Linked DNA regions of Rhinolophus ferrumequinum. The protein of the gene in region 2 purifies or fractionates together with the protein of the main gene of each other region. This does not show direct contact. Links are inferred from orthologs where the notes say so. Each region holds a gene or a part of one and is shown on either strand. Other genes may lie near its edges. The genes, in order: RPA2 and ETAA1.

Evidence for each region.
Region 1: the proteins of ETAA1 (region 2) and RPA2 purify together in Homo sapiens (affinity purification with western blotting; 4 studies listed by BioGRID, with this or other methods). This does not show direct contact. The link is inferred for Rhinolophus ferrumequinum from reciprocal best matches to the Homo sapiens genes ETAA1 and RPA2.

The regions. Positions count from the first base shown.
Region 1 is NC_046292.1:19,142,076-19,158,611, forward strand, and holds the start of RPA2 (replication protein A 32 kDa subunit), read right to left. Parts: upstream 9,031-16,536; 5' UTR 8,824-9,030; coding exon 8,805-8,823; intron 8,540-8,804; coding exon 8,430-8,539; intron 3,383-8,429; coding exon 3,281-3,382; intron 3,019-3,280; coding exon 2,905-3,018; intron 1-2,904. UniProt on the Homo sapiens protein: As part of the heterotrimeric replication protein A complex (RPA/RP-A), binds and stabilizes single-stranded DNA intermediates that form during DNA replication or upon DNA stress.
Region 2 is NC_046296.1:22,960,985-22,977,521, reverse strand, and holds the start of ETAA1 (ewing's tumor-associated antigen 1), read left to right. Parts: upstream 1-7,657; 5' UTR 7,658-7,760; coding exon 7,761-7,983; intron 7,984-9,156; coding exon 9,157-9,285; intron 9,286-9,548; coding exon 9,549-9,625; intron 9,626-13,147; coding exon 13,148-13,257; intron 13,258-13,511; coding exon 13,512-15,538; intron 15,539-16,537. UniProt on the Homo sapiens protein: Replication stress response protein that accumulates at DNA damage sites and promotes replication fork progression and integrity.

The DNA.
Region 1 (16,536 bases), on a different chromosome or scaffold from region 2:
TTAAAATTTCTAAATTATGTACAAAAAGAGAAAGTTATAAAGTGAGAGAGCTAAAGGATCCTAATATGGCACTAACTAGTTTGTTCTACTTTTAGAATTTACTTTTTTATAGAATCAGGAATTAAAATAAAAATATCTCTAAAGGTAATTTCCAGTTCCAAAGTTGTTTTATGCACATCATACGGAAGCAAATAATTACGACAATCTCATTCAATGCACACAACTTTCTGCTAGACATACTTATCAGCACAGCAGTTCTACTTGCAGGAATTAAAAGAAATAATTAAGAACATGCATTAAGATTTAGCTTTAAAAGTATTCATCATAGCATAGAATACTAAAAAATTTAAAACAACCTAAATATCCAATAATATGTACTCATTCATACAATGTAGAATTCTATTTATTGTCTGGGAAGACAAGTTGTGACATGTGGAAAAAGCTGATTTCTCATGTGGGGTAAAAATATACACCAAAATGTTAACAATGGTTAACTGGGATAATTAAAGTGATTTTAATATTCCTTTTGGAGTTTTTTTTGCTATGTACACATTATTTATAAGGAAAAAATATGTAAGCTGAGCCTTGAAGTATTTTCTGATTATAAAATACATGACTATAAAAAACTAGAAGATATATTATTTAAAAATAAAAAATACCCCAATTCCCATCACCTGGAAATCAACTATTGTTTTTGCATTGTACTCCACCTACCTATTATTTTACATAGCTGAATCTATACCAGATAAAACACCCAAATTAACATTAAATATAAGTAGAAAAATTTTATCTCACTAAGACCAAAGAAATACAAGTAAAAATGAGAAAATTCTCATTACCAAGGCTGTATTTTTAAACTATCAAACTAAAATTTAAGAGTCATAAAAACCCACTGTTAGAAAGGGTGTGGAGAGCTAACTGGGCACTTTCAGGCACTAATGAAGTATATAAGTTGGTACCTTTATGGAAGGCAAAAAAAAAAAAAAAGAAGAATAAAAATGTAAATATGATTTGAAAAAGTAAAAATATATAAAATGTATTATTTCTTCCAGAAAAATCTAGTTTTAAAATTTCATCTTAGGATTACCTCATAATTATAAAGAGATGCACACAAAGATACTCGCTGGGACATCGTCTACAATAGCAAATGATTGGAAACAAGCTAAATGTTCCCCAACTGGGTCTACTGTTAAGAGATGATGTATCCTTATGATGGAATAGGCAGTTGCTAAAAACGATGTATTTGTTGACACTATGAAATCAGTCTTGAATGAAAAGAGCAAATTACAGAGCAGCTGCCTATCATCTCATCCTTTATATACAAGACTGTAAGCATTCATCTAATGTTTAGTGGATAAGCAGAGAGAAATGTCTGAAAGGGTATTTACCAAAATGTGTTATAACAGTTGTCATCTCTGGGATGTGGGATTTCAGATGATTTTGAAATGTTTTATATTATAGTAAGCACGGTACATTTTTTATGAGCATGCAGTATTAGGCATCTTTAGTATCTACCTCCCCACTGAATGGCAGGGACTGTGTCTTTTTCATTCTTTGTATACCTGGAACCAAGCAATTTGGTTCAGAATCTTATTCCAACAGTGACTACTGAATAAATTATCCTGTATTTTTCTGAGAAACAAAAATTAAAGAACACATAACCATAGATGACTTGTGGTTTCTGAAGTGAAAATAGCATACCAAGTGCTTATTATCCAAATTTTCTATCATGTATTTTATTTCTTTCTACAATGTATTTTAAACATAAAAAACTCAAGAGGGCTTCTGCCCAATTAAAAAATAAAAAGTACAAAGAGAATTTATTTTCTTTCAGTCTATTTTCTCCATATACATGCTACTTTACAAAAAATGGGGTCATACTCATACTATGCATACTATTGTGTGACATACTCTCTTCCTCTCAACAATTTATGGCCAACACTTCTTTGTGACAACATATACATTTCTATATCATTTATTCTATAAATATACCATGGTTTAATTAGTAACACCCTATTGCCAGCATTTTGAATTTAGGTTTATTTTCATTATAAACAATGCTATGATCAACATTCTCACAACTGAATTATTGCACATGTATTTAGTTCCTTAATGTAAATCTCTAGCAGTGGCGTGCGAGGTCAACATTTTTATGATAGATGATTTTGATCATCAGCTGGTTTCTGAGAAAGGTCAAACCAATTTATACTTATACCATCAGAGTAGGATAATATCTACTTCCCCAAATAGAGACATATCATTCAAAAAATTAAATGTGTACTAAGTGCTAGAAGCACTGTGTTAACTACAGCTCTTATGCTAAGTGGCCACTGCCATTCTATTTTTTTCTTTGCTAATTTAGTAAGTTAAAAATGGTATCTTAATTTTATTAAACCTGCTTTTGTTATTGTTGCTGCAATTTAGAGTTCATCTATTATGAATTATCTGTGCATCTTATTTGCCCATGCTTCTAAGGTGCAGTTGCTTTTTGAGTTTTCCGTTGTTTTATAAGAGCTTTTCACTAATTAAAAATTTTAAATGTTTGTAATATGCTGCAAAAAATTTTCCCCTTTATTTAAATATTTACTCAGGGCCCACTATGTAACTGGAACTGTTCTAGGTGCTGGGAATACAGTGCCAACATAAAAATCCTTGTTCTGAGTTCACATTCTAGTGCTTCCTGTCACTTTTAACTTTGTTTATAGTATTTTGGTAAGTTTAGGTTTTAAACTTCTATGAAATCAAATGTATTAACGTTTCATTTCAAGGTTATTGCTTTTGCTGTCTTGCTTATGTATTATTTTTATAAAGACTTTTAAAAAGGAAGACTAAAAAAGTCCACCATCTCTGAAGTCCCAAAGTAACCCCACCCTAATTCAAAATTCAAAATCCCACACAGCTTACATCTGTGTCAACCCACTGTCTAACATCCATGGGTGCAGCTGTCATGTCATCTATTTTGTAAACAATGTTGGTTGGAGCCTTCTCTGCATGTCTGATTATCCCCACAATAGTGACCTAGATCAGAAGAAAAAAAAAGTTTGGTTTTCTTCTATACCAAAGCAACATTTATGTTTGTTTATTTATTTAAGTTGCAGGTGTACAAAACAATGTAATAGTTAGACATTGACACCCCTCACAAAGTGATAGCCCCTCTCCCCCAGTCTACTACCCCTCTGACATTGAATATAGCTGTAACATTTATGTATTTTTAAATGAAGTAATTTTTATTTCATCCTTCGTATGATTAAGTGACTCTTCCACAAATTATTTTACATACCTGTGAAATCTCAACATTCCCAATTCTGAACACTTCATCAATCAGAGTGGCAGAAAGAAGCTGAGATATGGTACAGGGTACAATGTGATGGGCTCGGGATCTCTGAAAGAGTATGCATAAATTCAATTAAGAAAATAGTAACTACCATTCATTTAACACGTGCTACGTGCAACATTGGATCTGCAAAACAAGCCTCATTACCCTTGCTTCAGCGATGGAAACCAAGGTCATATAGCTAACAAATGCCACACTTTAGAATTCAAACCCAGGTTTGTTTGACTCCAAAGCTCCTGATGAATGGGTAAGTTTGTGGGTTTTTTTTCAATTCTTTTTTTTTTAAAGATTTTACTGGGGAAGGGGAACAGGACTTTATTGGGGAACAGTGTGTACTTCCAGGACTTTTTTCCAAGTCACGTTGTTGTCCTTTCAATCTTAGTTGTGGAGGGTGCGTTCAGCTTCAAGTTGTTGTCCTTTCAGACTTAGTTGTGGGGGGCGCAGTTCAGCTCCAGGTCCAGTTGCCGTTGCTAGTTGCAGGGTGCGCGGCCCACCATCACTTGTGGGAGTCGAACCGGCAACCTTGTGGTTGAGAGGACTCACTCCAACCGAGCCATCTGGGAGCTCAGCGGCAGCTCAGCTCAAGGTGCCGTGTTCAATCTTAGTTGCAGGGGGCGGAGCCCACCATCCCTTGCGGGACATGAGGAATCGAACCGGCAACCTTGTGGTTGAGAGCCCACTGGCCCATGTGGGAATTGAACCAGCAGCCTTCGGAGTTAGGAGCACGGAGCTCCAACCGCCTGAGCCACCGGGCCAGCCCCAAGTTTGTGTTGTAACAGAGATTCACCAAAACGAGTAGACTGGAGTGGGGACAGCATAAGGAATGGCCTGCTTCCTGAACAGCTCTTTAAGAGGAAACTTCAGCTTTAGGATGAAGGCAAACTGAAACTGGCTATTTGTCACTGATGAGATGAGCTGGTATTTGAATGGCCAGTGGAGACAGAACGATGGAGTTATTCTAAATCTCATTAAAAAATGTAACAAAAAGTTAGAGGTATAACTTCCTTTAGGACGGATGTTCTGACAATTGGCTGGAAGTCCTAGGGAAAATGGGATAAGGGCTTGGCCACACTAGACATCTTTTTTTTTTTTTAACTAAAATTTATTGGGGTAACAATGGTTAGTAAAATTACACAGGTTTCAAGTGTACAATTCCGTAATATATCACCGATATAGCACATTGTGTGTTCACCACCCAGAGTCAGTTCTCCTTCCATCACCATGTATTTGACCCCCTTTACCCTCTTCTATTATACTATCCCCCCTACCCCCTTGAAACCACTGAACTATTGTCTGTGTCTATGAGTTTTCTTTATTTGTCTTGTTCCTTTGTTGCTTTCAGTTTTATATCCCACATAGCAGTGAAGTCATATGGTTCTCGACTTTTTCTGTCTCACTTATTTCACTTAGCATAATATTCTCAACACACTAGACATCTTAAAAGGAAGGGACAGAATATGATGGACAGAAGAATGTCTGGTGAGGACACTCAAATCCCAGCCTGCAGCAGTCAAACAACAGCGTAAACTCTTCTTTTTGCCTATAACTGGCTAGGGGTTGTCTGGGCAACATAAAGATGAGTACAGTTTGCCCGTAACACACTCCTAAACTAGGGGAGGTAAAAATATAAATAACAAACTTGATATTGATACATTATAGAATGAAAAGCGCTACCTGGGCTATCAAGAGATATTTATTGGTGATTTTAAGAAGAGGGAGCATTTAGACTAGACCTTGAGGCAGAAACAATTTGACAGTGAAAAAAGTGGCCGAGGAATGAGCATTACAGACTGAAGGTAAATATGCACTCCCACAGACTAATAGAGAAACTATATACAAGACAGGAAAAGCATGGTCAGTTAAAGATTAGAGTTCTTGTCAGAAATCAATGGGAAGTAACCCAATAATTGTTCTATCTACTACAAGACCGCACATAGTAGGCTCTTGGCCTTCATAGAATTAGCAGTTGCAGCTTTGCCCTGAAGGCCCATGACACTAGCAACATTTCACCTTGCTGAAGCATAATTTTGAATAGTGAGTATTTGTAGGATGGTAGAAAACAAGCCCAGCCAACCACCAGAACACATGCCACAACAGGCGGCAGCCAAGCTTGAGGGTTAAGATTATGGCTCTACCACACAGGAGCAGTGTGCTTTTGGTTACGTTTCTCAACTCATCTGTACCTCGGTTTCATCTATAAAACTAGGAATGATAAAATCACTATGAAAAATGAAATGTATGGTGCAGTACCTGGAATACTACCTGGTACATCACATACACTCAATAAATGTTAGCAATTATTATGTCAGCTATTGTTCCTCACTCTTTATATCTGCAATAGCTTTTAATAAGGATGTGAAGGAATCGACTATATTTTTCAATTTAACTTTATGGTACTTTATAGGTGAAGTTATATGCTATATTAGTATTTATAGATTTAAAATTTGCTAAAGTCCCAGATTTAGCTCTCAGAATCTATATTTTGTTTTCATCTATCACAACTGAGATTTTTATTGTATCTTCAGCATAAGAAAGCTAAGAACCATGATGGTAACAGCAGCAAGACATGGGCTTTGGAGCCAGACAGTACTATAGACCTGTGTTCAAATCCCAGCTTCACGGCCCAGGACATACCATCACCTACCTCCTCTGTAAAATGAGGATATCTACCTTTCAAGTTATAAATGAAACATATACATAAAAGTGCTAATACCAATCTCTACACAGGTGCAAAAAATATTATTACTCCTCAGGTAAAAAAGTTACATATGGGTAATTATTGAGGTGTCAGTAATACCTTCAAATTCATCTCAAGTTACAGTTATTTGTTTTTTTTTAAATGAGCACCTATTATGTGCCAGGAACCGATTGAAAAGAGCTCCTGGTTTGTTCCAAAGAGATTCGGCACAAGTTACATTTAATTTTTAAAAAATTATTTTGTAGCTGCCTATGAACTACTACTGTGAAGTACTGTACTCTGAAGTACTGTAGGAACCTACCATTTTTACAGGTAAAACATCAGAAACTTCAGAATTCAATCAAATATAACAGGTTTATAGTCAGTAGGAAACATTTAAATAGGACATTTATCTTTTACTGTGCAAAAAGCACTAGATTTTAAACACAGAAAGACCTGAGTTTGAGTCTCCAGCTTATAACTGTCATCATTCTCTGAAAAGCTGTCTTAGTACATAGCCCAAGCTAGGGGTCCTGAGATAAAAATTCTAACAAATGGAATGAAGAAAAATAGTGAAGCTTAGGGAAAAAAGATGAGAATTATCTATCTTCTGTTCTCATCTTCACAGCCTCAAAGAAGACTATAGTCTCCTCTGGTCTTCCCAGGAAAAAGAAAGCTACAACAGAGAAGCAGCTGCTTACCAGATTTTGGATTTGCTCAGCGCCCTGTGGGCACTGTCTGGTTCCAGTTACTTACTATGTAAGCTTAGGGAATCTCAATCTCCCTGAGCCTCTCTGTTGTACAATGGAGGAAACAATACCTTATTGGGTTATATGAAATAATTTATATGAAAAGTATAAAGCAATATCCAAATGTATGAGAATTATCAGTGGATTCTTTCCCAACTATACCTACCCCTGAATTAACAGTTTATGTAAAAGCTTATCAACCTGTACACAAAACACAGAACCTGCTAATACTGAATCTTAACACATCAGAATGACACCTAAAGAGAAGCCAAATTAATCCTGTATTTAAAGAATGAAATCAACAGTTGTTAATTGCAAACTCTTTTCTGAAAGAGTAAATAGGACCGTCCTGGTGGCTCAGGTGGTTGGAGTGCCCTGCTCCAAACACCAAGATCACCAGTTTAATTCCTACATGGGCCAGTGAGCTGCGCCCTCTACAGCTAAGATTGTGAACAACAGCTCTCCCTGGAGACAGCTCTCCCTGCAGCTGGGCTGCTGTGAGCAGCCAGAGGTGGGTGTAAGCTGCTGTGAGCTACTGTGTGCTGCCATGAGCAGCCAGTGGCCAGCATGAGTGACCAGCAGCCAGAGTGAGTGACTGGTGGCCAACGAGAGCTGCTGTGAGTGGCTCAGCCCGGGGAGCGCCAGGCTCATAATACCAGCATGGGCCAGGGAGCTGTGTCCTTCACAACTAGAACTAGAAAACTACGGCTTGAACCGGAGTGTGTGCGTGTGGGGAGGCGGAAGAAAGGGGGGGGGAGAGTAAATAACAAGCATTTGGACAGCTTTTTACAGAATACTTTCTTATACATTAGCTTATTTATCAATTCTCAGAACCACCCTGTGACATAAGTAATACTAGTACCATTATCAGATGAAAAAAACCCAAGGACCAACAAAACCAAGGGTTCATGTTGCTACACTAAACTCACATTGCCAGTTAAAAGGCAAAGGTGATTCCTGACATTATGTATTCTGGCTCCAATGCTCAGGTTCACCTCTGGCTCTGGCACCTCCCCCAACTCTGACCCCCCCCAGCTTTCTTTGCTAAATTGTTGCGATTCTCATCCTCCACCCCAGGCATCATTACTATTCCACATCTTGGTCACAAATAGTACCTAGGACCATTTATTGAAAGGGACTTGGGGCAAGCACTTTATATATAATATTAAGTCTCGCAACAACCTTGTAAAGCATGTATTATCAATCCCATGTAGTAGGTGCAAAACTGACTTCCAAGAAAGTTAAGAAATTTGTCCAATGATACCCTGCAAGTAGTGGTAGAGAGCATAGATCTATATATGACTTGACTTCAAAGACCATGCTCTTTCCACCACATTAAATCACCTCACTACGTTTAATTAAAAAACGACTTTGGAAAACATAGAACATAAATTAGGCTATTAATACAAGTTCAGTTTTTCTACAAAACTGATTCATTAGCTATCTTGGTAAAATTTCAAAATAAAGCCAAGGAAACAATAGCGGATGCAACATTAGGGGAGATTCCTATTTCAAACTTACAGCATTTAATTATAAGACTCGATAAGATAGTAATAGATAATTATCGGATCAGCTCAGGTTTAATACCCTTCCTTCGCCGCAGAAATGTTCTCCCATGGATGAGTTATGAGCTTTAGGACAGATAAAATAAAATACTCTTTCAACTTACTGATTTCTTTTCTGCCTGAGAAGGTGTCGGCGATCCAAAGCCCCCAGCGGACTGTGTGTAGCCGCCGGCTCCCCCAAAGGTAGAGCTGCCATAGCTTTCATATCCACCTGGTTTTAAATAACAGTAGTATTAGTATCTGGGCTGCTTTCCAAGCTCCTGAAAAACCCACGGGTCCCCTGAGACCTCAATCCCCGCACCCCAAACAGTCCCAGCATCTTCCTAATCTTCCCGACCACCTTTCCCAGGCCCCCAAACGGCCCCACCTCTGGCTCCAGCACCTCCCCCAACTCTCCTCCCTCCCGCCGCCACATGCCTCTCCGACCCCCCAGCCCTCTTTGCTAAATTGTTGCGATTCTCATCCTCCGCCCCACTCATCATTACTATTCCACATCATGGTCACAATTTCTTCGAAAAAGGCCCAGAAAGCTCAGGTCGGCTGGCTTCGCCGGACGCCTCAGAATCTTACTGCGGCCCCAGCGCTGTATCTACTTTTCGCTGGCGCCACAGACACCTTCCCGCGAATGACGGAGCCAATCAGTGTCCAGAAGTCTTCTTGCTTCAGCCAATCAAAGCTCGCTAATATTACGCTTTTTCCGTTCTTCGCTGGCCATGTTACTGAATACAGGCACTACGCTCCCAGTAGGGCCAGAAGCCTTCACGGCCATGTTGACTAAGGGCAAAACACTTCGCGCAAGCGGAAGCAAGGATCCTTGGATGCTGATGAGGCAGTATCTCAAAAAAACAACCAATCCAACAATACTTCCTCATCTCAGGACCATATAATCCCACCCCCATCAATAAGCGGCATCTTACGTCACTTTATTCGGGGGTTTCCCGCCAAATTTTCAAGACGCCTTGGTCTAAAACGTCATAGTACAATTCCTGGTTCGATGTCTCCGCCTGGCGGTCGCCCGGGATTTGCGCACACGGGTAATTCACAGTACTACGTAGTTTCGCAGCACCTCGTGGGATTGCTTATTCTTTAACGTAAAGAGTCAAGTTCTCTTCTTGTATTGCCACCCCGTGGCCCTGATTCTTCCCAGTGAAGGTATAAGAAATCTACATTCTTTTCCCCACGATGGCCTTTCAAAAACTGAGGACTGGGTTCATCCCACCTGTCCTGACTCTAATCTAGCTCCGCATCCTGGGTTGCTTCAACTATTCTTCATATAATGCGGTTGTGCTCCTCCTATGGAGAGTAGAACATGTCTGTTAGTTCCTTGCTGTAAATACTAATAGGGTGTTAGACATACTCTTCTCATTTATTTAAAATTATTTGATGTCTCTTTTGTTCTAAGCTCTGTACTGGCCAATGGTTAAGGTAGACCGGGTCCCTGGGCTTCTGGACTGTTTTATTTTTTATTTATTAAAACTTCAGTCACTGTCTTAAGCATTTTATATTTATTAATTCAGTCCTGTGAAGTAGGTTAGTGTATTGTCCCCATTTTACAGTTAAGGAAACTGAGGTATAGAAAGTCTAAGTTTTGGGAGCCTGCATTCAAGCCCAGGAAGTCTGATTTTGTCAACCAGTGTCGTTATTATACCTTTTTGAACATCCTAAACAAACTCAGATGACAACTGGGGTCAGGCAGGAAAACTGCTAATGTAGTGGGTTGGATAATAGACGACAATTTAAAAAACTTTTTTTTCTCCACAGTAAGAAAAATAACCACACAAGCATAATGGTAAATAGCAACTGACATAAAGACTATGGATCTAGTGTTGCCAGATCATCTATTTGTTTTAGCAGATGTCAGAAATTTGAATTTTTGTGTAAAATTTTCTGTGTTTTTAAACAAATAAGTGTTTTTAAACAAATCAACTATTAAAAAAACATTATGTAGGCCAAAGAAAAGATATCTGTGGGCCAGATGTTACTTTGTAAATTCTGTAAGCCTCCAAATCATTGCTGAGGAATAAAACCTGAGGTATACCAAAAAGACATTCTTATATTAAGCCTAAGGTGATTGAAACTTACATACTCTGACAAGTAAGGGCATATTTATGATATATAGGATAAAATGTTTGAAATTAAGATTATTCTGGGACATTCAAGATGTGTATTCACTTGAGTCAATTGGCCTTATTTGGGGTTTAACCAGTTATAACTTCAACTTCAACTGTGAAGACCATACATTTAAAAATAAAATGAAATTAAAATGTCTTAAAGTATAACAGAATACAAACCATCAAAGAGTTTTGCACATCTTTTCAAGAGCTTGAAAAACTGATAAATTGAGGGCTCAGTTCTCAATCAGTGCTAAAATAAAAATAAAATAAAAATTAAATATAAATATATAATAAATTATATATTATATTATATATAATATATAATTTTTATATAATAAAAATATAAAAATAAAATAAAAATAAAATAAAAAACTCGTGTGTGTGTTTGTGTGTGTGTGTGTTAGTGAATTCATCTCTCAAGGTTTAGTTTTGTCAAGTTGCAAGCTTCCTGTCACATAGCAATTTCCAAGAAGTCTTCCATTTCCCTCTTTAGGTAGGCTACAATCAGGGAAATCCACAGCAAGACTGAGAAATGGAGAAATCATCCTTTAAAAACAATCTGGTGGGGCGGACGGGTGGCTCAGTTGGTTAGAGCATGAGCTCTGGGCAATGGGGCTGCCGGTTCGATTCCCACAGGGGCCAGCAAGCTGTGCCCTTCGCAACTAGAATGAAGTCAATGAGCTGCCGCTCCGCTCCCAGGTGGCCAGATAGCTCGGTTGGGGTGCAGGCTCTCAATCACAAGGTTGCCAGTTCGACTCCCACAAGGGATGGTGGGCTGCGCCCCCCTGCAACTAACAACAGCAACTGGATGCAGCTGAACTGGGCCCTCCACAACTAAGATTGAAAGGACAACAAATTGACTTGGAAAAGTCCTGGAAGTACACACTGTTCCCCAATAAAGTCCTGTTAAAAACAAAAAGAAAACCAAAAAACCAATCTGGTGACACACACCCATTAGGATGGCCATAATTACATAGAAATAGAAAACACCAGGTTGTCTCTTGCTCGGAGGCCACCTCTGCTCTGCTTTTGGAGTAGATCTTTATTGAATAAAGATACTTTTGCTTTTTAAAAAAATAGATAACAGCAAATATTGGTGAGGATGTGGAGAAATTGGAACCCTGTGCACTGTTAGAATGTAAAATGGTGCAGCGACTATGGAAAACAGTATGGCAATTCCTCAAACAATAGAAATAGAATCACCATATGATCCAGCAGCATATATCCCAAAGATGGAAACAGGGACTCAAAATAGATGCTTGTATACCCACGTTCATGGCAGCTTTATTCAAAATAGACGCTTATACACCCATGTTCATGGCAGAATTAGACAAAAGGTGGAAGCAACCCAAGTATCCATTGACACATGAATGGATAAACAAAATGTGGGATGGACATACAATGGAATTATTCAGCCTTAAAAAAGAAGGAAATTCTAATACATGCTACAATATAGATAAACCTTGAAGATATGCAAATGAAATAAGCCAGTCATAAGAGGACAAATATTATATGATTCCATTTATATGAGGTACCTTAAAATAGTCAAATTTAGGGCCGGCCCGGTGGCTCAGGCGGTTAGAGCTCCATGCTCCTAACTCGGAAGGCTGCCGGTTCGATACCCACATGGGCCAGTGGGCTCTCAACCACAAGGTTGCCAGTTTGATTCCTCGACTCCCTCAAGGGATGGTGGGCAGCGCCCCCTGCAACTAAGATTGAACACGGCACCTTGAGCTGAGCTGCCGCTGAGCTCCTGGATGGCTCAGTTGGTTGGAGCGCATCCTCTCAACCACAAGGTTGCGGGTTCAACTCCTGCAAGGGATGGTGGGCTGTGCCCCCTGCAACTAGCAGCGGCAACTGGACCTGGAGCTGAGCTGCGTCCTCCACAACTAAGACTGAAAGGACAACAACTTGAAGCTGAATGGCACCCTCCACAACTAAGATTGAAAGGACAACAACTTGACTTGGAAAACAGGCCTGGAAGTATACACTGTTCCCCAATAAAGTCCTGTTCCCCTTCCCCAATAAAAATCTTAAAAAAAAAAAAAAGTCAAGTTTACAGGGACAGAAAGTAGAACAGCGTAGAACAACGGTTGCCAGATGCTGGAGAGAGGGAAGAATAGGGAGTTATTGTTTAATGGACACAGAGTTTCTGTTTGGGAAGGACCGTTCTGGAGACAGATAGTGGTCATGGTTGCCCAACAACATGAATGTAGCTAATGCCATTGAACTGTACACTTAAAAATGGTTAAAACGGTAAAATATTATTTGTATTTTAACACAATGAAAAAAATTTTTTAACCACTTTGGTGTTTACTTAATACATGCCAGAATGCATTATCTCTTCTAAAAGCTTAATATACATTATCTCCCAAAGTTTTTGACTGCCATTTTAACCTCCAAGGTCAATTTGCCTCCACTTTATAAACACACACATTTTAATCAGAACTGTCCCAACATTGATGAAATTTCATTTATATTGGATTCCCTATTCAATTTTTTTGTACAGTGAGAGTTAGCCATTTCTAATTTTTCCCATTTTAAATTTTGCTGAAATCATCTTTATGTAGATCAATCTTTTCCTGGGCAAACTATACAATGAGGGTTTAATTCATCACCCAAATTTTATCCATACTAATTTTTACTGATTTTTCACATCTGCCACTGTAGTTTTATGGATCCTCATTATTTCTATCAAGTACAATTTGATTCAGGGGATTTTTTTGCAGTTTTCAGTGTTATATGTAAAATGTGGTTTTCCAAATTGTTTTTTGTCTAAGAATTTTACTGGGTGGAGTAGCAATTTTCAGCTTTATATTGTACTGATTTTATTTTTCTAGTAATAATTATGAATTGGTTAATACTGATAGAATTATTTTAGTATCAGAGAGGCTTTATATGTGGCAGAACACCCACAATTATTTGTTTAATGCTCATTTTATTAAACTTATAGCTAATAAAACTTGAAATCAATCTTTTTGGTATTTAAAAATTGTTTACAAACTTTATTAAATATCCTTAAAATTTTAAACTGCAGTTAAAGTTTTAGTATGGCCAATTCTTATGAATACTTCAAATATCTTAAAGAACAGACAAAACACAAAAATTATAGTTTTTTTTTAAGTCATTAGCTAATGACTTTTAAGATTCAGGGCCCCTCACTTTCCCAGCGTCTTCCAAGGCCCCTTCTTTTGTCTAGATACATATTTATTTTTATACTTTACTTTGCATTCTTTTTCTTAAATAGGGCCACACAAATTGTATAAGCTTCAGGCTCCACAAAATCTGGAGCCTTCTGTCCCTGCCTCCATGGATCATGGCTTTATTTATGTTGTTATCGTCCCAGGGGTTCTGTGATATTATTTTTATTCCTTTCTGGGTTTTCAAAAATCTAATCAGACTGAAAAGAAAAAGGAATGTCATCTTAGTTCACTTGACGTCATTGGATCTGGGTCTTCAATCCATTGATTTTTGGTCAGGACTCAAGACTCGATTGTGTGGTCCAAGGGGACTGTCACCAAGCCACAGATTACCAAGCTGAGCTTCCCTTTGTAATGTTTGTAAGACTTTTTAAGTCACACATTTCTCATAGGTTTTAATTTTTTGCAACCTAATGTCTTTCCTCAAAGTCATGGGCTTTCGGTATCACTTGTCAGCATTATATAACCTGTTGTCCTGTTGGATATATTGATGGGAACTTTTGCAAGTTCGAAAATACGTTATTTTGTTATATTCATAGGGTTACCTGAAGGTTTCACTTCCTACAAGAGGAGGAATAGAATCTGTGGAGTTAACAGGACTCTAGGATGGTTGGCTAATTAGTTCTTGGAGCTCCCTGTTCTCCTTACCTCCCACTTGGTTACTGTGTGTGAACAGCCCAGCCCATCAGCCCTTCTTTTTCTACCCACAGTTCCCCTGGGCCAGCACTATTTGACTTCTCACAGGTCTATGAGTTGCTTCCTTACCCAGGTGGGAACAAGTATGAATGTATACTTTGTAAAAAGACATCTAATCAATCAAAGAAGCAAAGCACCTGTATGTGTTAACATTACTTATTAAAACAAAAAAAAGTTAAACATGTCTTATAAAGTCACCATTCTTGTGTGTTTCAACTACCTTTCTGTGCTTTTTCTATTTGGATTGTCATCATTAACTCATGGCCTTTCACAGATTCTACTTGTTCCAGTAACTATAACAATGACAACAATAAAATAATTATCATGCTATTATTGATGCTGCAGTTGTCACATCTTGGCCAGTGAGAGGTTGGTTCCTTTGTCCTATCAGCACTGTGGATGTTTTTTAAAGCCTTCTGGCTTCCTGGTAACCTGAGGACGTTCGACTCCCATCAGCTTAATTTTTTTTCTTTTCCCAAGACTTGAATTCAGCGCCCCTCCTTCGGAGAACGATACACGTGAGCCTCTGAGAGTTGTCCGTGGGCAGGGCCCTGCTGCTCTTCGAGCTTTCTTAGTAGTCACTCAGCAAGGAAAACATTTATTTTTTAAGGTTAGGAGTTTGTATTTATTTTTCCAATTTAACACAGCATGTTGCTATACCTTACATTTGTTACACTGACAGGTAAATTGTGGATAGTGTTTTGAATACCTTGGAGCAAAGGGCATTCGATTGGTAAAGACATAGATAGGATCTGGGCATGCCTCCAGGTCAAGAGGGCAGGATCGAAAAGTCCTGCTTTATTCACTTCATCTTCACAACAACCAAATGAGGTAAGCACTATTGTCATCCCATTTTCCAGATGAGGAAACTGAGCTTCCCAACCTTCTCCAATTCATAAGCACATGTAGAAAATAATGCTTGTATGGCACACTGGATTAAGCACATGAGGCTGACAGGAGCCAAAGGTGCAGGGTGAGCACTGGAATCAGGACTTTCCCAGTTTTAAAATTGAAAGTCCTTTGTCCTGGGAACCCCTCCAATCCCAGTGAAACCAAGGTTCGTCACCTTTCAGAGGGGTCAGATTGGGGTCTCTGGCTGCCTAAGCCCAGCCTGCCTGACTGAGTTATGGATGAATATTTCCTTGCTCCTGTAACCTTTCAGTGATGCACCAGTGTGCTTGGCCAGTATGGGTGAGACTGAGTAATGAGTCTGAGGTCACAGAGCTGGTAAAGAGAGGACCCCGACTGAAGCCAGCTCGATGTGACTCCCGAGTCCAGCTCTTAACTATGATGCGTTGTCCTTCCTTCCCTGTGTCTTTTTTTGCCCATCTCCTCACCCGTGTCAGCACATCTTTACTCCCAAATACTCAGTACTTTGGTGCTGTTGTCCCATCAAGCTAACAGAGGGAGTAATAAGGGCTTATATATACTCACTTTTCTCAAAAATATTTACAATTATAAAGAGGTCCCCAGGAAGAGGAAAGGTGCCTGGGAGGACAGATGGTAAGAGAGATACCCCACAAAGAGGTGACACTGCCCAATCTGGATATCATGCTAAGAACTCTGGACTTTTCCCCACGACGATGGGGAGCCACTGAAGGTTTGGGAGCAGGCGAGTTACGTGATCACTTCCAGAGGGAGGGAGTGTGCACAGGCCAGAGACTGCCCAGGACTGGAGACGGTGATCTATCAGGACGCTGGAGGAACAATCAAGGTTGCGATGATGTGGGCCTGGACCAAGGCAGAGGGAGTGGGAAAGAGAGGGACAAAGAAAACAGAAGTCAAAGGAAAGCGAAAGGTTGAAGATGTCTTTGTTAATTTTTTATTCATCCTGTCAGTTTTGTTTACTCCACCTACATTTGTTTAACAAATATATTTAGTGCCTATTAATTGCCAAGAGCTACACTAACTCTGAACTGACTCTAGTTTTGAATCTAGGTGACAAAGAGAAATAGGAGTTCCTGAATTCAAAAGCAGAAGCAGACTTCTTCAGTTCATATATGGCCATGCTGAGTTTTCATTGTGGCCAGCTTCAGATTTTCTCTCTGGGATCTTTAAGGATCAACCATTAAAAACAGTCCAGCTTAGAGAAGACACAGAATATGTGGTATAATTTGAGCCTTCTCAGATTTCATCACTAGATATTCATTCTTTTGGAGCAGTCACTGCTGCTGCAAATGGAAAATTCAAGTAATTATTCT
Region 2 (16,537 bases):
TTTCATTTAAAGCAGTAGAGAAAAATGTCTTTGCAAATTACTTCCATGACCCCCACAGCCATTAATCCTGGGTAGATACTGGCCTGATGGGGGTTGATACACGAAATGATCAGAGGGGTTGAATTAAATTAGTGGTACTGCTGAGTGGTACCTGCAGAAAGCACAGTGTGCCAAAACACATGCTCCACTTCAGAACTGAGTTAACCTGCTTTTCTTCCTTCTTACTACCAACATCTGCTCAAATCATTTACAAGTAAGTGTGATTTTGACAAAATTTACAATAATCATCTTGTCCTTAAGAATGGCTTTGGCATCATGCTTTGCAAACAGCATTTCAAATAAAAGCATTTTGCAGCTGACATTTCTCTGTTCCCAATTTGTGCCTTCCAATAAACACTGAGAAACAATTAGATTAAAATCATATATGGTGATGGAAGGAGAACTGATTTGAATGGTGAGCACACAATGTGATATATGGATGATGTATTATAGAAATGCACACTTGAAAACTATGTAATTTTACTAAAACCACTGTCACCCCAATACATTTAATTAAAAAGATATATAATCCTTGATCCCAAGCTTTGTTTTAGTTCAGCTTTTGTGGATATAAGGAATACAGACTAACCTGCATTAGCTAACTCAAGGAAAGGAAGTTTACTGCAAAGGGTCTGCATTGAAAGAGAAAAGGAAATGACTGAAATTACAGTAGAATCTGGCCTTAGGGGCATGGAGCTGAATGGTTGGCTCAGTTTCCAGGTGTGTGGAATCTATAGATGTTAATTCCAATGGCCCTGGCAGTGTAACACTGCTGCTTCTGTCTATTCCAGTATTAGCAGTCTTTCTTGTAATTTCTGGCCCCCCATGGTTTTGCACACAGCCCTCTAGCAAATTCTTCAGATCTCCAAGAGGAAATGATTGTCTCCATGTCTCTTTTTGTGAGTCAGCAGTAGAGAGCCAGCCTATAGAGTGGTACCCAAAGTCAGCTGTCCACCTCTAGTCCATTCAGATTCATCTGCTTGGGGTCACCTGGTAGGACCAAAATCAGTCAGGCAGCAGAGGCTCTTGATGAAGTTCCCTCAGAAGAGGGATAGGCATGGTAGGTGATTTTAATTACAATTGCTGGTAGGTCAGGACAGAGGAAAAATGGGCCCAGTACTTAACCAAGTACATTTTGGAGTATATTTTAGAAACAGAGTAACAAGATTGTAAAAAAATGATCTACTCATTTTGTTGCCTGTTCAGATACTGCCACTTGTATCCTGATAGACTTGGAGCTGGGGCAGGGCTCTATACACAAACTGTGCTACATAATAACACATTATGATTTTTGTTATTTTTTTTTTCATGAAACAAAAACTTCTCACAATTAGTCCAGCAAATAGTATCATTGTAATGTAAGTGACAAGGCAATAACCCCACAAAAAAAGCTACTTAACAACAAACTCTCAATGTCTCAATTTTTTGTTTAATAAACACTGTCAAGTTTATGGATAATTTCTGCAACTAAAAAAGTGAGAGTTTAGAGGAGATCCAAGATGGCAGAGTAGATAAACGCTGTGCTTGCTTCATCCCATGAACACATCAAAATTACAACTAAATTATAAACCAATCAGCCTGAAGAACCATCTAAAGTCTAGCTGAACAGAAGTATCATAACTATGAAGAAGACACCTAAAGACTAGTAGGAGGGGAGGGGATGTGAAATGGGGTTGATCCCACACCTACATTTGGCGGTTCAAAATTGGAAGCGATATCCCACAGAGGTTCCCCATGAAGGAGTGAGGGACCCCAGACTGCCACACCAGGCTCCCTAGAATAGATTACTGACAAAGGGAAGGAGAGCCCCCACAACAACTGGTTGTGAAAAACAGTGGGGATTCTGACCATCTGGATGGGATGAAAGACAGGGGGAAACCCAGACATCCTCTTAACGGGCCCGGGCAGGCACTCACCCTGGACTCTGGCAGAGGGACAGTGACTCTGGGGGCGTCGGAGACATGGGGAGAGACTGAGTTGTGTAACTTTGGGGCAAGGACTGGAAGGACAGTCCCCATTTTCCCTGAGTGGGGCGCTCCTCTCATACAGTCGGCAGGCAGAAGCCATCTTTCCTGTATTGAGTCCGCCCCCACAGGCCAAATCTGAATCTAATTGACCTGATGAGCTCTGCTGCTCCCTGCTGCTAATTCACTGAGATCCTGCCTCTCCCAATTTGCATACATCATGAGGCTTTATCAGTGATTGAAACTTACCAGAGCCTGCAGGGGACAGCAGGCCTAGGAGTGTCCTGGCTTTTTGCACAGCTACCCCAGGCCTGGTACTGGTGGCAGCTGTCCTCGATTCGCAGCATGGCCTCTCCCACATAACTCCAGGTACAGCACAGGCAGCGAACAACAGACAATTACTTTGTAGCTCCTACCAGGTAGTCACAGGCACTGGGTGACCTGGGCCTTCCCTGGAGCCCCTCCCAAGAGGCCCCAGAAACAACATACTTGGAGGTTGGCTTCAACCACAGCAGAGCACCACCCAATTAGCCCCACAAGCAGCATATAAAAAGGATGGTACCAACAGATGGCAGAGCCTGGTAGGACGATTATCACTCAGCGAGTTAAGCCCCCTGCACAGCAGCCTATAAGCTGTGGACATGGCGAAACCCTATAGCCAGTCAGCTTGAAGGTTAATACCAAACACTGGCATGCCAACAGCAACCAAGGTTCAACTATACTGTGTTTCCCCAAAAATAAGACCTAGCCGGACCATCAGCTCTAATGCATCTTTTGGAGCAAAAATTAATATAAGACCCAGTCTTATTTTACTATAATATTAAGACTGGGTCTTATATAAGATTGGGTCTTATTTTACTATAAGACCAGGTTTTATATAATTTATAATATAATACAATATAATGTAATATAATACCTGGTCTTATTTTACTATAAGACTTATATAAGACCGGGTCTTATATTAGTTTTTGCTCCAAAGGACGCATTAGAGCTGATGGTCTGGCTAGGTCTTATTTTCAGGGAAACACAGTAACAGGAAGGCACACACAACCCACAAGGGACATTTCTAGAGCACCTAGTGCAGGTGAACAAGGAGACTGTGCCACTGGGCCCGACAGGACACCTACTACATAAGGCCACCAGGCCAAGACTGGGGCACACAGTAGATCTACCTAATACATAGAAACAAAGAGAGGCAGCCAAAATGAGGAAACAAAGAAATCCATCCCAAATGAAAGAATGGGAGAAAACTTCAGAAAAAGAACTAAAGAAAATGGAGGTAAGCTACCTACCAGAGACAGAGTTCAAAACATTGGTTATAAGGATGCTCAAGGAGCTTAGTGAGAACTTCAACAAAGAGATAGCACACATTAAAAAGGACATAGAAACCATAAAAAAGAACCAGTCAGAAGTGAAGAATACAATAACTGAAATGAAGAATGCACTAGAAGGAATCACCATCATCCATATGTTCATTGCAGCATTATTTACAATGGCCAAGATATGGAGGCAGCCTGGGTATCCATCAATGGAAGAATGGATAAAGAGGAGGTGGTACATATATACAATGGAATATTGCTTGGTCATGGAAGAGAATGGGTTCTGGCCATCTATGGAGGCATGGATGGACCTGGAGGGTATTGTGCTGAGTGAAATGTCAGAGAAAGACAAATGCAATGTGATTTTGCTTATATGTAGAATCTGAAGAATAAAATTAATAAATGAAACAGAAATAGACTCAGACACAGAAAACATTTTGATGGTTGGCAGACTGGGGGGTGGGGGCAGTTGACAGGGTGGGTGAAAAAAGGGAAGGGATTAAGAAACATAAATTGGTTGTTACAAAGTAGTCATGGAGATGTAGGGTATAGCATAAGGATTATAGTCAATATTGTAATAACTATGTATGGTGCCAGGTGGGTACTTAAACTAGTCACTAGGAATCACTTCTTAAATTATATAAATGTCTAACCATAAGCTGTACACCTGAAATTAATATAAAATATTTCAGTCAACTGTAACTGAAAAATTTAAAAAGGGGGCAAAGGTGATGGGCAATATGTTGTCTAAATTTCCGGGTATACAACTAGTTAAGTCATGGGGCTGTAATGTACAGCGTGGGAAATACAGTCAATAATATTGTGATAGCATAGTACAGTGTCAGATGGTTGCTGGACTTATGATGGTGATCACTTCTTTAGGTATATAAATGTTGAATAACTATTATGTACACCTGAAACTAATATAATATTGTATGCTAACTATAGTTTTAATAAAAATCTTTTTAAAAGAAATAAGAGTTTAACTTTGGTTTATTAAAAATAGTTCATTGTATTAAACCTTACTTAAGCGTATATGTACATATTATTCAAATGCCTAGAAATGCTAAGTTTTGGCATTTTTAATCATATTGCATTTAAATGTCTATAAGGCTTATCTTTTGTTTATTAAGAACATTTTATCAATGAGTTTTTTTGTACTGTACTTATTCAGGAGTTATGCTCAGGAAGTACATTTAATTTGAATTACATTAGAACTGTAACAGATTGTTTGAATTAAGCAATATTTAAGCTAAAACTTATGACAGTTTCCTATCACATAATGATTACAATTACAGCCATCCTGGATAGGCTAAAGTAAAAACACACGTCTGTTCTTTGGGCTCGAGTTATTCCTTTTTACAATGGTTACCTGGGTACTACAGAATTTGGATAGTTATGGGAAATTATTGACTGTTATTTCATTTGCAGTATTAATATGATTTAAAGGATTACCACATGGTTATTACTCCTATAGGAATTAGGAAATTCTTCAAACTTCTTTAACTACTTTCTAAGTGTAAGTTGGGAATTTTTCAGAGTAAGTTAAGTCTTTGAGACCACCATGATGCCATCTATTTAATAAAACGTTGTAGTGGACATTCGAGGTTTTTTTTTTTTCCTGCCTCTGGGATTCTTGGTCAGTTGAGAGGTAGAAGAAATCCCCAAGAGAAATAACAGTATACCTATCCATTTATATTAATTAGGCAACTAGAAGTTCAAGTAGTTAATTTGAATTTTCAGAGATGTAATTTCCCAAGCAGTCATATCTAGTTATAAATATATAAAACTAGAATAATGGTTTAAAAATATGTAAAAGTAATCATGGCAAGGAAAATAGGAGAAAGTCAAGGACTGAGGAAAAAGGATGACATTATTTGGTCACGATGGTTGGCATAATTGTTAGAACTGAACCTCAAGTTTAGTTCTAGGATTCCTGGTAGCCAAACTGAAGAATAAAAACAGGAAATTACAAAGAAGAAATATATGTCAGTTCCTCATGGAAACAAAAATTTTGCCTTACATTAAAATTTTAAAACATTTTTATTGATAAATATAACATATATACAGAAAAGTACACAAAACAACATGTTCAGCTCAATGAATTATCACAAATCCAAAACTAAAACAAGACAATGAACAAAACCAACACATCCCTCCCTCTCCTTTTAATGATGGTCCATTCTCTCCTCCACAAAGTAATCATTATCCTGACTTTTATGGTAACCACTCCTGGATGGTTCTTTATAATTTTATCACTTAAGCTTACATTTTTATACAATATAGTTTAATTTTGCCTCTTGAAATTTATATAAATGGAATTATATAGTATTCTGGGGAAGGAAGTGGTGGAGTCTGGCCTGTTTGCTCAACTTTATGAGATTTTGCCACATTGTTGTAAAGAGTTGTAGTTTGCGTTTTCATTACTATGTAGCATTTTGTTGAGCAAACATAGCTCAATATATTTACCCACTATACTGTTGAAGAGGCTTTGGTTTGCTTCCAGTTTGGGGTAATTTTGAATTTTACTGCTTAAAGCATTTTTATAAAATGTATCTTGATCCACACGTACCTAGATTTTTCCATTGTTTATAGTCCTAGGAGTGGGATTGCTAGATCAAGAACTGGTTTCCAAAGTGGCTGTACCAAGGTATACTCTCACCAACAGTATGTTACAGTTCCCATTGTGGGGTCCTCTGGTTATCCATCTCCCACAGGCTTCAGTCAAGGCTGGGGCTGTGCTCTCATGTCTTGTCTGGTTTATTTCCTTGATACCAGTATTGTATCTTGTCAATTTTAGCCATTCTGCTGGTTGCAGAGGTTAAAATCACATTGTGGTTTTAATTTTCATTCTTTTCTTTACAAATGTGGTTGAGCACCTTTCTACAAGTTTGTTGATTATTTAGATTTTCTTTTGGAGAGCCTGCTACAGTATCTGACCCATTCTTCTTATTGGTGGTCAATCATTTTCTTAATAACATATCAATTCTTCATATATTTCACATATAGGGCCTTAATTTTATCTCTTATACATATCTTCTCCCAGTCTGTACTTCGCTTTTCATTTATTTTCTTTAATGTTGTCTTTGGATAGACAGAAGATCTCAAGTTATCAATTTAATGTAGTCAAATTTATAATTATTTTCTTTATAGTTGGTGACCTTTTTGGTCAATTTAAAATTCATTCTGTCATAAAGACAATTTACATCAACTTCTAGAATGTTAATTATTTTATCATTTACAATTAAATATATAATCAATTGGCACTTGATTTTGGGATACGGTATGAGGTATTGGTTAAGTTTCTGTGTGAATATCAAATTGACCAAGCCCTATTTATTATCAAAAAGTCCTTTCCCACGGCTCGGGAAGGTTGTCTTTATCTTAAATCAAGTGTCCATTTACTTAAAGGTCCATTCTAAGCTTTTTGTTGTTTCTTTCATCTATTTGTCTATCCTTTCACCATTGTTACACTGTCTTAATTACTTTATAAGTCTTGATAACTGGTAGATATCCAAGTTCATTATCCTTCAAGAGTTTCCTGGATATTTTAAGCCTTTTGCATTTCCATATACATTTTAAAATAAACTTGTCATAACACACACACACACACACACAGTCCTACTGCAATTTTGCATGGATTTTCACCGAATCTATAGATCAATTTAAGAACTGACATTGTAACAATATGGAGTCTTGCAACCTGTGAATATTATTATTATCCTTTATTTAGGTGTTCAATTTCTTTCAAAAATAGTTCATAATTGTCTTTGTAGGGGTATTGCAATCTTTGGTTAAATTTATACCTAGTTATTTGATATCTTGTATGCTATTATAAATTGTGTTTCTTTAAGAAGTCAATATGTTATAAATCAATTGAAACACAATTGATCTTTGAATATTAACTTTGCATCAGCTACTGTTAATTGATGAATTTAATAATTTGTCCTACATTTTTTGGATTTTTCTATGCACATATCATCTATGAAAAAATATTTTTTGCTTCCTTCCTAACTTATACTTTTATTTCCTTTTCTTTAACATACTAAAACCCACAGTAATCTGAACGAATAATGTGTAATTCTAGTTGTAAATGCAATAAAAAGATGCCAATGGATTCAATCTTCTTTTCACCTCTCCTGCTGTCACTCTCAGTTACTATGGACACACCTGTGATCCTTACACTCCTTTTCAATGCTGATCAATCTGAGCAGAGCCCAGCAAGGTCGGAAGCAGGCTGCGGAAGCGCGCTCCCCAAGCACGCCGACCGCACCGCCCCCCGCCCGGACGCAGCCAATCAGCGGCCGCCTCTTACCAGCGCGCCATCGGCAAAAATGGCGGCGGCCGTTAACGCAGGGTCTCGCTTTTAACTCCATTGCTCTACTTCTCCCGTGCAAAATGTGAAAGGAGAAACGGCTGGTGGAGGGGGTCCTAGGCAATGAATCGGCGAAGAAAACATGGGGACAGCCCTGGTCTGATGAACACGCCGCCCAAAGCGGCGGCGGCTGACGAATGCACCTCGGTGGTGGAGCCAGGGAAGAGGCGGCTTAGGTCGGCCCGCAGATCGGGGCTCCGCGGGGTCAGAGACGGGTCTCCCGGGCCCATGCCGCAGCAAGAGCAGCCTCCAGCAGCCGCTTCGTGCAGTAAAAGTAACCCCGAGGGTGAGACGTGGGCAGCGCGGCCTTTCTGGGCTTCGGCACTGTAGCCCCACAGCCGAACTTGCAGCTGGGAAATTTGGGGTGGGAGTGGGGGTGGAGTCTGAAGGATGTTTTCTTTCTCTGGGCTTCTCCCCTCGGAGTCCAAAAGTAACCTGACACACTTCCCACGGCTTTAGTCCCCGAATTTGAGCACTGCCCTGTTAGGTTTGACCACTCACTTGTCGCCCCTGCCACAAGAATAGGCCGTGTGGGGTTTACCTGTTTTAAGGGAGGACGGCTGATTGCTAGGCTGCTCCTCCAGTTAGCAGCAGAGGCAGAGTGAGGAGAAATAATGTGATAGACCTGTTGTCTTCAGCTTATTCTTAGGGGGATTATTCCCGCTTAACCATTTTGCCCTGACTTGCTTCAGCGAAGGGACCCTGTGAAAAGCTATAGCTATATCCTCGAAGCCTCCGTGATGTCTCACTTCTTTATGAATAAACCAGAAGTTCCCATGTGTAAGGTCCCTCAAAGGAGGAAACTGAGGGTTCCGGAATATTTCATTCTGATCAATTTTTGGTGTTCCATTTTTAAAAGATTTTTAATAAATTCCAGTGGGAACTGAAACTCATTCTAAAGTTCTTTACTACAGTGTGTTCTTAAAATACGGCTTTTGTTAACTTGGCTTCACTTCACTTCCACAAAGCAACACCGGAATAAACAAAAACAAATCTCTGCAAATTTAAAACTGATACTAGATAGAACTTTCTAAGAAATGGATAACTGAATTTTTTTGAAATAATTGGTGTCAGATAAAGTTGGTGAAAGCGGACTGAACAGACTTTTACTGAAGTTTCTGTTGAGATGTTCTTGATTTTTGAAATGTATAAATTACAGGTGGTTTCCAAAGCCTCAAAGTTCCAGTGATAATGAATGGAGTGACTAGGGTATATATAGTATTATACATTCATAGAGCTACTAGAGTATCTTAAAATACTTGCTATTTACAATGTTAAATTTGTGAAGTATTACAGGGATTGTTATGTGAAACATTTCAGTTGTGGAAGTAATATCTCTGGGAGAAAAGTTTATAATTGAACTATAAAAAGTAATCGTGTCTAAGCTATTATTTAATATTGAGGTATTATGAAGTGCAACAATTTAAAATGCAACAATTGTTATTTTAATCTCATGTAGAAAGGTATGAAACACCAAAGAGAGTGCTGAAAATGGATTTATTGTCATCTACCTTCAGTTCTCCTAATGATCCAGATGGACAGACTGATATCTTTTGGGATCAAAATTCTCCGATGACAAAACAGTTAGGTAAATTGTTACTTACATTTTTATCTGGATAACGGTTTCATAAATGATTAGGATTTTACTTACAGAATTTCAGTCGGTAACATCAGAATTTTTCACAATGGATGCTTTTTGAGAATCTTATGTGATTGTCCTGCTGTGATAGGCAGGTGATCTCAGAGAGCATAGTGCTCTTAGCCATGCTCATTGTTTTCTAAGAAGTGACCGCTATTATTAAAAATCAAGTTTTTTATTTACAATTTATAGAAATGTCTTTGTTTCTTTAGGTAAAGGAAGAAGAAAACAGATTTACACCACAGATAGTGATGAGATCTCACATATTGTTAATCGAATTGCTCCTCAGGTAAATATCACTAGTTTTATAATTGATTTTAAAACTGAAAAATATGCCATTAAGTCCTTGTATAGTTCTTTACATGAAAAATGTTTTGTTTTTTACAATTCTCTTTTCTGAAAATAGAGCGGTAAGGATGACGTTTACCTCTCCTACTACTGAGATTTATGTTTTGAAAAAAGAAACAATGTAAAATTGATGATATATGTTTCCCTCAGCCTAATATTTTACTTAATTTTTTAGAGTGATGATTTTTTATTAGAGCTTTGTGTTTGTTTTGTGTTTAATATTGTTTAACAATATATGGCATGGTTTTTCAAGTTACTAAAATAATAGAATCAGATAATAAAAATTTAAACTTTTAAGTTTTATGATTGCATTGTTTACTGTTCATAGCATACCTCTTCCCCATCGAAACTGCTATGAATACTATTGACTTACAAGATCATCAAGAAAAAATTGTAAAAGCTGTACTAGATGACCCTAAACAAGTCACTTAAGCTTTCAGAACTTCAGTTCATTCAGCCATAAACTAGAATTACTTGTCTTGCTCTCTTTATTGGATTATTATGAGGATTAAATTAGATAAAAATTCTTTGTAAACTAGAGAGCACTATAAATGTAAGGTTATGTTAAAGTTAATTATGATAGTTAAATTATTTGCTGTAATAGAACCATCTGCAAAAGTTTTTCTTTATTTCATTTCTTGTACTGCTTAAGTGAAATCGAAATAATAAGTTCAAGTCAACCTTTGTTCTGAACCTCTTTCCTCTCTCTTTTCCATATTTAACAACGTTTAAATTCAGAAAACATCCAATTTTTACTTAGTGTCTTTTCTGTAGGAAGTAGAGTATTTTTCCTTGGCATGCCCATGGACAGTGACTATATCTGTATATTGATGGTAAACAGTTGATGGCACTGTCCCAAACTGTGGTTACAAGGAATCACCATAATCCAGGTGGAGGAGACAAGAAATAAGGTTTTTCTTAGGAGCTATAAAATATCCGAAATTACAACTAGCACAGTCAAAACAGCTCTGTTCCTACTAGCTCTACATTCCATGTTTGGCATGTCATACAAATTCATTTTACATATGGTTCATTAGTTAAATAGCATTTATACCATAATACTGCTTACTTCATGAGTTAACAATAGACTTCATTAATTGTGGGTTTCACATGAAAGAAGCACAATAAAATGTGTTTGGGCTGGCCAGCCTAAATAGTGATAAAAAGATAGTTGAGTGAATTATTGGACTCTTTACCTAAGTGGGCTGGAAATAATAGCTCACATGAAGAAATGGCAACAGTATGCAAGTGGTAACTTGTGTATAAGAAAAAAATACAGTGAAATTAGTTCCTTTTAAATGATACCCTTTTTAGCTGAGCACTTTTAAAACATAAATCTTTGGTAGTATCGGGGTCTTTTTAAAAGCTTTTAAAAAGTGTTCTCAGAATGACATAATCATGTTTATTTTTAGGTATGTTATCTCAAATAATTATTTAAGTCACTTGATATTTTCAGACATGGCATTTAAAAAATATGCACTTTCATTTTAATTGGACAGTCATTTTACTTGCTTCAAGGATACTTTTTATATAATGTTGTTTATTTGAAGATGGTGTACAAGGTGTGACAATTAAGTTTGCGAACTCATCCTAGAAAAAGTACTACATAGCTCATTGCTGAATATCACTATGGTCACCTTCGAAGTACTCCCGTTGGGAAGCGATGCACCAACCCCAGTGCCTAGTCCACCCCTGAAAGCAGTTTTGGAACTCTTTTCCTAGAATGGCCATCAGAGCTGTCGTCATATTACCGTTGATGTTCTGAATGGCATCAAAATGTCTTCCTTTCAATATTTCCTTTATCGTCGGGTAAAGAAAGAAGTCATTGGGGGCCAGATCAGGTGAGTAGAGAATGTGTTCCAATACAGTTATTTGTTTACTGGCTAAAAACTCCCTCACAGACAGTGCCATGTGAGCTGGTGCATTGTCGTGATGCAAGAGCCATGAATTGTTGGCAAAAAGTTCAGGTTGTCTAACTTTTTCATGCAGCCTTTTCAGTACTTCCAAATAGTAAACTTGGTTAACTGTTTGTCCAGTTGGCACAAGTTTAAAATGATTAATACCTCTGATAATCAAAAAAGGTTAGCAACATCATTGCAACAAGTTCGCGAACTTAACTGTCAGACCTCATATATTTTTTCCATCATTTTTATATAACTACACAGTGTACTCTTAGGATTAAATGAAGTAATATATTTAGGTACCTTATAAAGCATCTGGATTGCATTGTGTTATTATCAATGAAGAAATTTTTAAAATATAACACAAATAGTATAAAAAACATACAAAAGACCCATATCTATATAAAAGTGGATATATAAAGTTGTCATACTTTTATTCTCTAAAAATCGAATAAATTTAAAATTACTTGGTAAATGGATAAAAGAATCCATAATTAAATCATCTTTAAGAGTGTCATTTTCCCCAACTTCAAGGTTGTTGTTGAAATAAAAATGGAAAATATATAGTGAAAGTGAAATTATTATTTTTTTTTTTTTAGTATTTTGCAAAGCTAAAATCTAGGTTCAACTGGACATCTAAGAAAACTGCTTGTTGATCAATTAAGGACTCTAGTAAATAAACATGAACTGACATCTTTTTTTCATCATTTTGCTAGATGCTGAACTATCATAAGAATAGTCCTTGCCTTCAAGTAATTTATAATCTAGTGATAAGATTATTTGTACCTTGTGTGATAATTATGTTTATTCTAGGTACTATAAAAATACATTAGAAAATGGTTAACCTATTTGATGTGTTGGTTTGCTTTGTAACTAATGCATAAATTCATTCTTCAATATTTTGTGCGATCAAGTGACTGAAAGACATAACAAAAATATATAGGACTGAAACAGCTTTTCCCCTACCTTATTCTTCGCACCAATTCTAACCTTGTACTCATCTCTAACTCAGTCCTTACCGTAATTCTGTGTAAGCCTTTTTAATTCAGGTCAGTATGGATTGTCCAACTTTTGGAGATAAAGATTATAATGGGGATAGCAAAAATTTGAAGACAGGTGATATAGAAAGAATTCCATATGTATCTCTCTTTATTGTTAATTCTGTTGTTTTCTGCTATACGGTTTGTTTCTAATATTAATATTTATTTTTATGAATATCTTATAAGTTGATCAGTTTTCTTTTGATAAAAACGTGCTTTTTATTAAATATGCATTTGTTAAATAATCAAATTACTAAAACTACATTTTTTTGAAAATAAGGAATTCCCAATTCTGAATGTTTTCATTTCCTGAAACATAAATGCATCACTTCTTGCAACTTGTTATTACCATCTTCTAGCTTCTTATTGTTTTGGAGATTGATTAGTAGCTATCACCTTACCAGAATTGATTACTTTAGAAAATAATTCAGTGTAGTTCAAGGTTTTTTTATTCTTTTTCTTTTTTCTTTTTCTTATTTTTGTACTTTACTTTTGTACCTCTTTTTTCCACCTTCTGCCAAGGTTGAAAAACCAACAACAGACTCCATGCTGGGTGTATGGATTGGTGCAACTGCTATTCCTTGTACTCCTACTGTAGCAAAGGGAAAATCAAGAGCAAAAAGCTGCACAAAGTAAGTTCAAGCTTTTTAGCTTTTCAGATATTCAGTGAAGTAAATATTTTTAGTAATATGCTGCTTTGGTGTGCTGAATATATCAAAAGGAAATTTTTTTTCCTTAGTTTTGACAAGTAACATTTTGAACTTAAAATCATTATAACGTAGGTTTTAAAATTTTCAAGTGTTATCATGTGTTAAATAACAATTGAATGTTACAATGACTCTTAGACTTTTTCTTGGTTATAATTTTTTAAATATTTGTTTAATAGGTTTAAAACACAAACTCGAGAGGAAGAACTTATGAAATTGGCTAAGCAATTTGATAAAAATATGGAAGAGCTAGATGTGACTCAAGAGCAAAACAAGAGAAATCATGATTTTATCTACATGATTTCAGAAGCAGAGACTTTAAATAATTATAAAGATAATGTGCAGATGCAGTTATTACTTGACGTAGTTCCCGAAGTAGATAATGTTATAATGAAGAAGTCAATGAAAGAAAACACCATGGTATCTGTGGTAAATGATCAAAATAGCAGTCAGAAGTCATTTGACCAAAATGTTGAAGTAGCCCTTAATGCCATTTTTGATGGTTCTACTCAGAAATGTAGCGGACAGTTAAGCCAAGATCTGTCAGATGCTTTTTGTAACACGATTAATACTACCTTTGGAAAGAGAAGTGCTTTGAAAGAGGAGAAAATCATTACTAATGAAACTCTGGACACTGAAAAACTGCCAAATAAACCTCCAGCATCACTTTCTCGTCAAGTTGATAATTCTGGAATGACAAAATCATATGTGACTTCCTGTACCAAGGAGCCAGAAGCTTTTAATAAGCACATAGATGCATTTACTACTGGTGATTTTGAGGATGATTGGGAAAACTTACTAAGTAATGAACCTTTTGTTATGCAAAATGTAGAAATGTCTGAACCTCTCCCTGTTCCTAAAACAGCCCAGATGACTGATCAAAAGGGAATTTGTACCCTTAACGGTAAAAACGATCAAGGTAACTCACGAACAAATATAAGTCTAGATGTTAGGTTAAGAGATTCAAAAATTTTACAAGATCGTTCTTCAAAGACACATAACAGTGAATTAATAGATGCTGGAAAATACAGATTTTCACCAAATTCAAATGGTAAACCAAACAAATTACCATCCATTGGAAATAAAATGAAATTTGAGAACTCTTTCAGTAAACTCATTCAAGACAAAACTCAAGATTATGCCGTTGCATCTAATCTGACAGAACTAAAGGAAGACATTCATACTAAATTTATTTTTAATGTAAATGCTTCTGGAGAAAAGTCTCCTTTGAACACAGGATATTCCAATGAACAAAAAAATAAATCTATTTTTAATCAGCCTTTTAAAACGTCTGCTAATACAGTTTCTTTTGGCTCTGCTGCTTTGGACAATGCAAATCAGACTAATGCATCAAAGTTAGATTCTTTCTCTGATGATTGGAGTGACCCATCATTTGCCAGTGAAATTGTTAAAGCGTGTCATCAATTAGAGAATACCTGGGAAGCAGATGATGTAGATGATGATTTATTATACCAAGCATGTGATGATATTGAAAGACTAACTCAGCAACAAGACATTAGAAAGGACAGCAAGACATCAGAAAGTATACTTGAGATTAATAATAATTCCAAACATGGAGCCAAAAACATGTTCACTAAATCTGAACAAAGAAGTCAGTTGGTGCAATCAACACATTTGAATCTGAGCAATATTTCAGCACAAACGTCTTCGTTGACAAATAGCTCACAAATAAATGAACCAGTGAAGATGCAGAAAGGGGAAATTTATGGAAATTCTCCAAGTTTTTTAGGTGCTACAACAAATTTGACTATATACTCTAAGAACTCGAATTGTCTGATCAATAATATGCCTGTCCCTTGGAATGACACTCATGTTCCAGTACAAGTGAACAGTTCCAAATCAATTCGTACAAGAAGTTCAAGTATGAATTCAGATTATATGAGTACAGAAATTGCTACTTATAAGAAGAAATTGAGTACTCAGCTTCTGTCCCATACAACCATAAAAGATGAAGCTCAGAGTAACCTTAACAGAACAGTTAGATTTTCTAAGTATACGTTTACAAAGATGAGAAATTCTCAGATTCTTTCCCAGTTCAATCAAAATTGTGTAACAGGAAGTATCTCTGATACCAAAATTATACAGGGATTGGAGAAAAACAAAACTCCTGTCAACTCATGTGGAAAGACTGTTCAACAGGAATCTTTGGTGAAACTTTCTGAATCTTTGAAACAGCATTCAAAAGGTATGTATGAAATTGTTTTCTTTGAAAGGTAGCATCTTGGAAAGTAGCCAAACTAGCTTTTTTTTTTTTTTTTTTTTTTTGCGTTGAATTTGCATACCCTGTAAGGTAAAAACTATGAAGCTTAACTAGAAGTCATAAAGTGATTTTTCTAAATAATTATGCCGTAATATACAAAGAGTGGGTGATTTGTTTTCAAAGACTGCATTGAATGCTTTCCCAATATTTAATACAGTGACTAGCATATAGTAGGCACTCATTACATTTCTTTTGAATATTTTCTGAATTATTTTCCAGAAAATCGTACTTTAGATATATGTATGACTGTGTGAGACTGTATGTTTAGTAAGTAACTCATGGTTTTAGAACTTGAATAATCTTACTCGTATATGTTTAGGAGACACTGAGGTGAATAATATTTGAAAATTTAGAGCATTCTAATTAATTAAACACCTTTGCCGGTATAATATCTGATGTAAAACTCATTGTAGTAGTTAGAATTATAATTTACTTACTTAGTACAACCTGTCATCTTTCATTCTTCCAATTCCTCTTTTCCCAAATTCTTTCCATCAACAAATTACATTGTTTCTACCTGAAAAAATACATCTCAAAACTGTCCATTTTCCTCACTGTCTATTGCTATCACCATTTTCCAAGCAACTTTTATTGACTGGACTACTGTAGTTCTACCTGTCTGTCCCCTTTCAATTATGATCTCCAAACAGAATAATCTTTTACAAACAAATCGGCAAACATGGCATTCCTATGCCGAATCTCAGCCTTCAGTGGCTGCCCATCTATTTCAAATAAAGTCCAAACTACACTGTGATCTACAAGGCCTTGGGTTCTCTCTCCTTAACCTGCCCGTCCTCTTCTCCCTTAACCTGCTAAGCTTCAGTTGTACCAGCTGTCTTTCAGTCCCTGTCTTTCTTTCCCAGTTCAGAAGCTTTGACTATGCTATTCCCAACGAAAACTCCTTCCCAACATCTGGCATCCCCT